Schizosaccharomyces pombe: one gene and its partners. Changing the gene in region 2 together with the main gene of any one other region gives a genetic interaction. Each region holds a gene or a part of one and is shown on either strand. Other genes may lie near its edges.

The links.
Region 1: mutations in wwm3 (region 2) and SPOM_SPBC1604.03C together harm fitness more than expected from each alone (negative genetic interaction), as found in Schizosaccharomyces pombe (one large-scale study listed by BioGRID).
Region 3: mutations in wwm3 (region 2) and nud3 together harm fitness more than expected from each alone (negative genetic interaction), as found in Schizosaccharomyces pombe (one large-scale study listed by BioGRID).

What each region holds. Positions count from the first base shown.
Region 1 is NC_003423.3:3,925,247-3,928,940, reverse strand, and holds SPOM_SPBC1604.03C (uncharacterized protein), read right to left. Parts: upstream 1,972-3,694; 5' UTR 1,928-1,971; coding exon 935-1,927; 3' UTR 842-934; downstream 1-841. Other genes in the region: PPR repeat-containing protein Ppr1, read right to left, coding at 1-518; SPOM_SPBC1604.04 (thiamine pyrophosphate transporter), read left to right, coding at 3,631-3,694.
Region 2 is NC_003423.3:200,658-204,464, reverse strand, and holds wwm3 (protein wwm3), read right to left. Parts: upstream 2,185-3,807; 5' UTR 1,930-2,184; coding exon 1,498-1,929; 3' UTR 842-1,497; downstream 1-841.
Region 3 is NC_003423.3:3,229,590-3,232,921, reverse strand, and holds nud3 (nuclear movement protein nudc), read right to left. Parts: upstream 1,531-3,332; 5' UTR 1,402-1,530; coding exon 901-1,401; 3' UTR 842-900; downstream 1-841. Other genes in the region: yap18 (ENTH/VHS domain protein), read left to right, coding at 1-618; meiotic septin Spn7, read left to right, coding at 2,430-2,634, 2,679-2,760, 2,811-2,904, 3,056-3,332.

The DNA of each region.
Region 1 (3,694 bases), 3.7 Mb from region 2:
TGACCATAGTTCACACAGCCAGTTGCATATGAAAGAAAAACTCGGCAAAGTTCAGCTGGCAACTTTGGACATAGCTGACTCAAAATAATAAATGTCTTTTTAATCCTCAAAGGTTGGCATAATTTCTCATAAGCAGAACAAGCTATTATGCAACAGTCGATGAAATCCTGATTGCGTATCCAGGATTCTTCATACTTCCATAAATTTTTTCGAAACAAGCTTACGGCTTCCCTGTACTTTTTACGAGAAAATGACTTTTTCATGCTGGTATTAAGGCTATTAAGCAATGAAGCCGACATGTGCGACGATTGCTTTGGCATAGATTTTAAAGAAAATGAAGGGAAGAACTTATCTTCGGGGGCCTGAAACTTTGAAATCATCGAAACATTATTTTTGGCAGCAGTACTTGAATGCCTTAACATAGGAAATTGTGTCAAGCAACTGAAAACTCTTTGATAAGACAGCCCATTATGATTAAGAGTGACATGGAGGGCTACATAATGAGCCCTTTTCAGCATATGCAAAGAAACTAATGAAATAGCAGCTGCATAAACTACTAGAAATATTATATATAAATAAAAGGTAATAACCTATGGTTGGTAGATAACCGCTAGCTGAGCGTTAGACGAAGCAAAAAATATTGAGGGTACCAAATTTTGTCTGCAACCAGGCTAAAGAGAGGGGGGTTTTATGGGTTAACAAAAACTAAACTAAAACGATAAAATGCGATGATAAAAGCACGACACCGGCAATGTCTAGCTTCTCTGTGCTTTGTGAATAAAAGGAGTCAACACAACGAGAGCTGTTCGGGTTACTTCCCAACGAGGGCTTACAAATTTGATAGTGCATATAACGAGACATTTAGTAATATTCATTAAGTCTACTCAATTAACAAAAAAATGCTAAACAAATGTAATATAAACTTAAGTAAATGCTAACGGGGAGCTGGAGCGGCATTATACAAAGGACCGATAGCTGGCCCATTAGTAGAAGGATGATCGAATGCACGAAAGGTTTCATAAGTGCTGTTGAATGGCAGAGCAGCCAAGTGTTGCCAATTATCAGTAACTAAAGGAAAGGAGAAGAAAGAAGGGAGAGTCTGAAAAGAGACCAAAAATTGTGAAGCAAGACGAGAAATAAAAAAAGATCCAAAACTTTCAGTAAAATAGGCATCTATGTAGTCAACAGCAGAAGACGCCAGATACGCAGTATAATACTTTAGGAAATCTTTTTTCACCAAATGCTCAAAGGCAGACTTTAAAGTGTAGGTAGAGACGGAAAATGGATCAGGAATTGCATTTTTAAGAAGAGATTCTTCAATAATGTAGAGAAGCTCTTTAAGAGAAATACCCTCATCGTCAACTATGGTACAAAAAACACTAGGCAAGGTAGGGATTGGATTAATACTAGTATCCTCTGTTGTAAAACAAGCAGCAGTAGCAAAACAATCAATGAGAACCTCTTGAATATTAAGACTGAGACCAACGGCTAGATTAGCAAGTGGTGTACAACTATCGTAACACAGACCTTTGATATATTCAGGGTTGCGACTTAAAGTTTGCCAAACTAACTCATGGAGGTTGTAGCGTGCATCATGAACAAGCCTATCTCCATAGAATAGTACAAATGGTTCAATAAACTTTGGATGACCTATGTGAGTTTTGTATGTGGATACATCGATTTCGTATGTATCTAGACCTTTGTGTGTCTGCGGTACTAATAACGGAATGGCTTTGTCAAAAAAATCAACAAAATCGTCGTCTTTGTACTTTCCATACAAACATCCTAACAGTAAAAGAGGTACAGCGTTTATACGGTTCTTTTCATCAACTGGTCGAAATCGTGTGTGATTAGCACGAAACAAAGGAACAATTCTCTTCCTCCTAACTTCTATTGGCGTTTTAGGTGTCGAAAGAATGGCTCCCATTTTTGAGTCAAAAAATTTAAATCAACTATTTTTATGCTTTTTTCAGGCCTAGAGACGATCGTTAAATGCAGTTCATCTAACCCTATAGTGAAACACAACGAGCTAGGGGGTACAGAAGATAATAAGAGGAATTTATATGTAATTGGTAGAGGTATTTGATGGTTTATCATTTTCATGAATTGATAGATAGTTATATCAGTAATGTAAAGTCATTACTTAGAGCAATGGTTTAGCTAAAGACCATTCACCTTTGATAAACGTCAAGTCGAGTATGAATACATCTAAAGCCTTCTTCATTTTTTCTAGTAATTGAAGAAGCTTTTACGATAAATTTGTTTGATGTGCAATTAACATAAATCGCTTTAATTGTTTAAAAGTGCATGACAAGAAAGGAGTGTATGCGACAAGTGTTGAAACCTCGCACTCATAGTTGCATATATACAGAGAAACTAATATAAATAATAAAATTTTTATTTTTTAATTGCTTTTTTATAGTTTTTTTTTTATGGCGCTACCAAAAAATAGAGAGTAATGATTTAAACATTTTAGTTATCAGATGTCTACTGTAAATAAAACGTGGGAAGGAAGGGAAAATCTACGCATATTTGCTTTGTCAACAGAAGAGCTATAAGTGTTCCAAAAGTAAAAAATTAATAAATTTTCATTTCATTTCGTTGTGGTATTTGATGGATTACTTTTATACATCCTGCACATTACCATCTCAGCTGTCTTATGTTGTAATATGAACGTATTGATGTTGTATGGAATGCACTAAATTGAGAATGCCTAACGAACAGAATGGGGTAAACGAGAAACCAAAAGGCGATTGTTCTTGAAATTTGTAGCATGTTCTAACATTTTATCCGTACGGACACGAAATTGACCATACATTTATTATTAAAAAAATAACAGATTATAATATCTCAAAAAGTTATTTATATAGCAAAATAGCTATTTTATTGTGAAACAATTAAATTATGTAAGCGGAATCTTGCGTTTAAAAATCCATTTCGTTCCTCAAGACTGAAATATTAAGCGATAACATTCTTTTGAACATAAGAAAACAGAAGATGAAAGTAGCAGACATCAGTACTAACTAATTTAACAACTACATGTTCTTGTTTTTAGTCATATCCAGCTGTTGCGTACAAACTCTAGTAGTAATTTGTACCGACTATTGTATTCAATGATAGCACGAATACAAAGCAGGATTGACAAATTCTTTGAAGCTCAATAAATTACTTGAGTTATTTCAAAGTTGCTTTACTATGGCTTTAAGTGTTCAGTTAAAGGAAGGAAACTTTGGGATTTCCTTGCATGGCTTTTAAATAAATTGCAGATTTTTAAAAAGATCGTTTAACAGCCAAAGACTTTTTTTTACATAATTTCGTCCGTATACATTGATTTTTTTTTTAGTTTTACAACTGTGAACTACACTTGATCCGGCATCTTACATCCGGTAAGTTAATTAATCAATATTCTATATTAACTGAGATGTGTGCTCAAAAAGTCTAATCGGAAAAGCCGCAAACAGTATTTGTTCGTGTAATTCGGTGGGCGAAATTTTTGAACTCCCATTACACTTATACGTGAATACAAAATACCCGAGATTGTAGTTAAACCAACAGTTATAAGATTTAAACAAATCTTACGCCTCCGGCTTTGTAATAATTAATTGCCGATTGTAGAAACAAACACTATCGATGGGCCTTGCAAAGCAAAAGGACTCGCAAGAGTTTGCCCAACCTGTTTGGCATTACACTTTGG
Region 2 (3,807 bases):
TCTGTTAGGGAAAAGGAGAAATCGCGCAGTGGTATAGAACGATTATAAAAGAAATGAAAATCTGATACGCTACAGATCATTACATAAGAGGCTGATGTAGTGGTAGTAGCATTATGCAAATTTCGTTATTTTACTATATCGTGATTGCCCCAAACCATAATTCGTCATTCCTAGTTTACGAATTTACGAGTTCCATTAAAGTGGTATTAACGTGTTTTTAAAAGTACTTCACTAATTATCGAAAGCTGTTCATGGAAAATAGACTGCCAATTTGTTTTATTCAAACTCAGAATATCAGGGTTTCACTAATGCTGCTTGACTTGAAACATAGCTAATTGAAAAAGGAAAATTGCTCTTATTACCCTTTTTAATCGCCGGCTTTGCTTAAAAACAAACGGTTTTGCATTGCTATGAAAACCCTCGACATTCATTTGATAATTGCCAGGTACAAATTTACGTATCCTTACTGAATAATCGTAATATGAACAAATAAATGTTGTACCGTAGATAATATTTCTTAATTTTGAAATATATTAACTTTTCTTATTTCATTATGTGTATCCAAGAGCCAAGTTATATTTCTCTTATTTTAAACAGCTTGATAAATACAGGTTTTAAACGATTCAAATGATATCTGTTTGTCTTTTAAAATAGTGGTATGACATCCCATAAGTGTAAAAAAAATTTTTTTTCTTTCTGCCTTAATTTTTTCGGAATTGTGCATTTAATCCAAAACCAAACAAATATCTGAGTTTGCCAATTATATAGTCAGTAATACACCACTATAAACTATTCAACTAAAATACCCAAAAAAAAAGGACAACTAGTAATGAAAAAACAATGATAATAATAAATGAAAGATATATAATTGACTATTTTAAATCATGCATAATAAACTAATTTAACGTCTGAAAAAACAACCATTGATTTTTTAAAAGTTTCAAAAATTGTGCTTCACCCAATTTTTTACAATTAACCAAAAAAAAATATAAATAAATAAGTAAATACACGTCGAAGTGATAAATGCCAAAAAAATGATTCCATCGACAACCAACTCCGTCGATATTCACACCCATTATAATATATGCTCCTTACTTCTTTGGTATTAAACAGAAATTTTATAAATTAGACCGTTTTCCTCGAAATCCCAATAAAGAATGCAATGGTACAATAAATAAGGAAGCTTGAAACAAGTAAAGATCAGATGATAACAAAATTAATATAAGTAAACAAGAAATTAGGTCAAAGAACGACTAACAGAATATAACAATTTTAGAACGATTAGCAAAAATAGTATGAAATTTCAAGGGAATAAAAAGAACTTCACTGGATATCGTGTTTTCCATTTAACAATTTCGAAAGAGTCGTATACGTGAATTTGGTGATTCTATTCAAAGGAGAAAGTGATGTTCTCAAAAAAAAAGAGCGATTCCATAATCAACGACCATAGTATGTAGGACGAAATCGGAACCAAATTTAAATAAAAATCAACGCTTTTCATCTGCGGCCACGTCCACCACGTCCACCCATGCGTCCACCACCGCGGCCGCCGAAACCACCGTGAGGACCATGAAGTGGGCCATGATGGCCACCACCGATTCTTGGACCAAACAAAGGGCCTCTGGGAGGAGGAGGGGCGTAGTAAGCACGGTGACCACGAAGAACACTGCCGGCTAAAGCTCCAACCATGAAACCTCCTAATCCAGCCGTCATAGACCGTGAGCCGTCAGAAGAGCGAGGCACGTCCTTTTGATAGACGACGGTAGTGGTACCGGGAGGAGGAGGAATATGCAAGCCTGGAATAGGAGGCTCCCACTGTGGTTGAGCACCTTCAAACGTTTCATTAATGTAAAAGTAAGCTTGATAAGTTGGATCCCATTGGGCGACCCAACCAGCTGGCAAGCCCTTGTAAGTTTGATAAACAGACATCTTTCGATAAAGTAATTAATGAGAAACTGTAACTTAGAAAAAAAGAAGTAGTGAGAAGTAGAGTATGTCTGTTAAGAATTATTAATAGACAGGCACAAATGTCAAAAGAAAAAAAGAATTAGCAGCGAAGTAGAAACGGTATGTATAACAAGAAAGAATTTATGATCTCGTTATAGTAAGAATGAAGAAAAGATTAGAATAACGAATGCTTTGAAAATGAAGCAAGTAAAAAAAATGATTGATTGAAATTAGATTGACGAAAAGGTGAGGAAAACTCGCAAATAAATAAAGCTTTGCATTAGGACATAGCCGACGGACAATACGTCACTTTTGTGGGGAAATGATGAGTTATTGCGTAGTTGTAGTGTGGAAGCGAGTGCGATTTGAACTCTTTTTCTTCCATCGGAATAGAAAACATATGAGCGGGGCCGAAAGCTGCCGCAATCTATTTTGCGATTGTGTACCCGATATCCTAACAGCAAAGCAGTGAATTGGAAGATGAATTTACTACAATATCTGTAGTGTCTTTTAGTTACATTCAGAAAAGAAATTGATACGAAAATGTGCACGCTAAAAGCTCAAACCCATGTATACTTATGATCTTCCAATTGTACAAATTATTGCTATTTTCGCTAGTCTATAGATCGATCAGCCATTGACGTCAGCGCTCGTTTAGTATTTGAAAACAAACGCCAAGTTAGGTGTTTGTTTATTAATGTGTTTCTTTGGGTATATGAGTGTATGAAAATTCGACTCAAGCTCCTGTTAACACTTGATCTTTCTTTTGAATCGCGAATAGCATTGACTCCGATATCTCGGTTCAATTTTTTTGAGTAAATAGTAAACGTACGTTTCATAAAACTAACTTTAACAAAAAATTATCTACTTAGTGAATTAGTTCTCACTTGGATAAATACTTGTTTTTGTCAAGCTTTTAGCATGGTCAATTGATATCAAAAGGAACTCACTCCAAAAAAAATCGACCCCACTTGGGTCCATGAACCTCTCTTGTCTTGCATCTCTCAAGGACTGGATGGATGTGGGGGTTCGGGGAATCAAGAGTTTTCAATGGAGTAAGTGCAATCAAATAAATCAAAGCGACAAAGGATTAGAGCGAGGAGACGAGAAAAGATGGAAATACAATGAGTAAATTCGTATTAAAATTGATATCGTTTTAACGAAGGAAAAGAGAAAGTTACTCTACGTAGGTTTGCAAAAAAAAAATATATAAATGTAGATGTAGATGTAAAATTAATGTTAATGAGAAATTTGAAATTAAGGAAGCATAAATAGTATGGAGACATTATAGTTAATATGGACGATGAGTTAAAAGGAATAATTGGTTTAAGTGAAGCTAAAGAAAAATAAAAATAAAAAAATAAAAAGATGTCATTTAATATTAAATTTAAAAAAGACAACACACACATAAGAACTATTCAATAAAATAAAATAAACACAGTACAATAAAATAAAATAAATAACGATCTAACGAAACAGGAAAAAAAAAAAAAAATAATATATTACAAACAAAAAACAATCTCAAAAAGCTATCTTATAATTTGAGTATCCTAACCATAATATTTATTAACTCATATGTAAGTTTATCTTGGTAGAAGCTTTACCTTTAAGAATTGACTTCATTCCTACTCGCATCGCATTTGTTGCTTCTATTTTAGAGATAAAAGCTCTTTTAATTGAACTTATGCTTTTACCAACACGGCACGTGAATCAAGTTAGAATAATAGTCTAAATGTCCACAAAGGGTGGTTTCTCGTTCTATGAATAAATATAGTAGTAGCTTAGTGAAAATTCCACGGGACATTAGTTTATATAAGAATAAAAGTGAATGTATGAAAATTACATGTGAAGAATAAATTT
Region 3 (3,332 bases), 3.0 Mb from region 2:
TACAACAGCTCTTCACCAACTTATCACCCACAACCAATCCCCCCTCAATTACAGCAAGTTCAACTCTTGTCCCAGATGGCTGGAAATCAGATGGCAAACATACAATATACAATGAATGGGATGCAACAAACTGGAGCTTCTCCAAACACTGCTTTGAATATTTCCCAAGTTAACATGTATGCTCAAAATAATCCTGTAAATCCTTCAACAACCAATCCTTTTCAAAACTTTTTAAGGCAACCCTCTTATCAAGGAATGCAGTTTGAGCAGCAACAACCGACTACCATACCGTTACAGCCAAATATTCCTGTATTGAATCAGCAGTATCCTGTTATGATTCCTGCCATGGAAGACTCAAGGGGTCCGCTACCGTCCCCTGCTCACATTATGTATCCTGAAGGGTCTCCTGGATTTATTCAACATTCTCCTAATGGGTTCACGCATGGCCATTCGGCTTCCCCAGTTAATATTGGACAAAAGTTGGATGTTCCTGAAAGGCCGATGTCTACACCGTACACCGCATCTAAAAACCCCTTTTCAACGAGGGAATTGGCTGAACCAACTGATTTAGCGAGAAATTCAATTTCGACGGAGTCTAAAAATCCGTTCCGAAGTTAGGTTTGTTTTTGTTGTCAATGCACCCATCATGTCGTTGTATATAATCATGCATAAGTTATTGCTGGCTAGCTAATGACCCATTTATTAATATTATTATACTAACTCGCTCTTTATCCAAGACTTTCTCGATTTATTTCTAGTTTAAAAGAATGCCGATTTGCTGTTTATACCTTCTTTGTACTATCAGTTTTACAAATACCAGAAATTTCTACATTTTTATCAATAGAGCTTAGAAAGTTTTGTAACAATTGTAATTATACATATATAAAATCATGAAACTATTCAAATCTGGTCTCTAACATTTGAAAAATCTAGTTCAGGATGTTGTTTCATGAAATTTTGCAGTACATCTTTTCGTTTTTGTTCATCGGTACGCTTTTGGCTTTGCTCCAACATCATTTTTTCAACTGTAGCTCTTGTTTCTTCATCTAGATCAGATAATTTTGAATTTTCGGGCTCAATTGAGCCTATATCGATTGAGGGATGCCCTTTTATAACACACGACCACCATTCCATTTTATTGGATTTCTCGAGATGGATAACAAGCCTTTCTTGTTCTTCGACAGTCCAGGTGCTTTCATCTAAATTGATCTGTTTTTCGAGTGGACCACTGAGAAGGACTTTTCGTTCTGGGACGTTGATTTGAATTTTGAGATCGTGATTTGACATATCTACCTGGAGGGATTTCGCTCTTGTCCCTTTGGGTACATGGATGACAATATCAACATCGGCTATTGTTTGATCCCACTCGTACTCGGCCTCTTCGAGTTTTACTTGATGCATTCTTAAACCTGCAGCTCAACTCACGCTTTTCGTAATCGGTTGATTACTTTGTAATTTTATTAAATATGTGCTCGTTTTTGGCTAAGCAAATCAAATTCTTTTACGAGCCTAAAAAATGAAGCTAGATTTGATTAATGTATATTTAATTACCGACTTCATAAACCGGAATTTCAAGATTACGAGTTTGTACGCTACGTTAAAGAGCTAACGTTTGATGGTTTGCGGTGCACACAGTGGAGAGTCGTGCAAACTCGCAGGCTGTAACTTTTACTTGTGTTCTGTTACGTTTATTTTACTAACATTCGATTTTTATACAATACTCTAGAGTTAAAGATTTCACTTTTTAAAAAGTAGAATTTTGTTGCGCTAAAAAAAAACTTCAATTTTTGAGGAAGGTGTAACTCAAGTTATGTATTAGGCTTTGCAAATAAACCGAGTTTTAGGAACAATTCAATTTATTATGAAATTTGCTCAAAGCCGTTTATATGGGCTATGGCGCAAATCACAACAAGCATATCATAACATTAAAACATTAACGAACATCGTTATGTAAAATCTACCAGCATCATTATGTTTACGAAGTTATATGTAGCAACGAAAGGTACAACTGTTGCAATCATTCAAAATTTGTGTGGTAGATGCAAAATAAGCATGGGAATTGGGTTTTCATGATTATGATTCCTTTAACAATTGCTGTCGCTTAAATAAACTCGAAAGTCTCATGAATTAATGCAAAATATCAGCGCCTTATTTTAACTCAGTAAATGAACAGAGGGCTCGTTAAAGGTCAAAGGTTAAATTACTTAAATTTTGGACAATGCGAAGATGATTAAGGCACAAAATGATTTAGAGAAGAATACTGGAAGAAAAAATATAAACTATATTTAAAAGTACTATTGAAAAGTTTTGTATAAAGAAATCTTCTGGATTTTCCTTGTTTGCGAAATGGATATACTGCCAACGTATCGGTGCCTTTATTAAGCAGTAAACAAACAAACCCAAGTTCTTCCAACAGCAAACACTTCAAGATGAATAAAGGCCCAAGACATCGTCCAAAATTCTTATCAAAAAAGGGAAAAAAGCTTCGCATAATGGTAGCAGGATCTAGCTACACCAGTTACCAAGCTTGTATCAATAGCTTGTGCAGTAAACAAATACTGGAAGCTGAAACAGAGATAGATCCGCTAAAAGCTCATATTGATAGAATACTGGAAATAAGGGAATTTAATGCTGGTGAGTTATTACGGTTTTAATTTTCGTGTGCTAACTGTAATTAGATATTTTAGAAGATGAGTTCCATGTTGACCTTACGGTCATTGAAGTAAATGGTTTCGGAGATAAAATTGATAATTCAGCTAGGTAATACCAAAAGGTATTTTTCTAAATTAAAGCTAATTTCAATGCATTAGTTTCGAGGTAGTTACTCATTATTTGGAAAGCCAATTCGATCAAGCCTTGATAGAAGAATCTAAAATCAAAAGAAATTCTAAATTTACTGATACGGTACGAAATCTGCAAACAAAGTTTTTCCGTCCTTAACTATTTCAATCAAGTTACTTCCATTACTTGATTTAATGTTGTTAAGTAGAAAACCAAGAGAACACATTGGTTTAAGAATGAGGAATGAAAAAAAAGTTTTCTAACGATATTTTAGCGCGTTGATGCCCTACTTTATTTTATTGCACCCCGTGGACATTGCCTGTCTGAGTTTGATTTGGAAGCCATGAAACGGTTTTCAAAGCGCGTAAACGTAATTCCTGTCATTGGAAACTCCAACGCTTTTACTGAAGAAGAATTAAAGAACTTCAAAGATGTGATAATGAAGGATTTGAAACAATGTAACATAAAGGTATTTGACTTTCCTTGGGATCCTGAGGAGGATGAAGACGAAGTCATTGAGGATAACAAACGACTTTGGGAAAGTGTTCCAT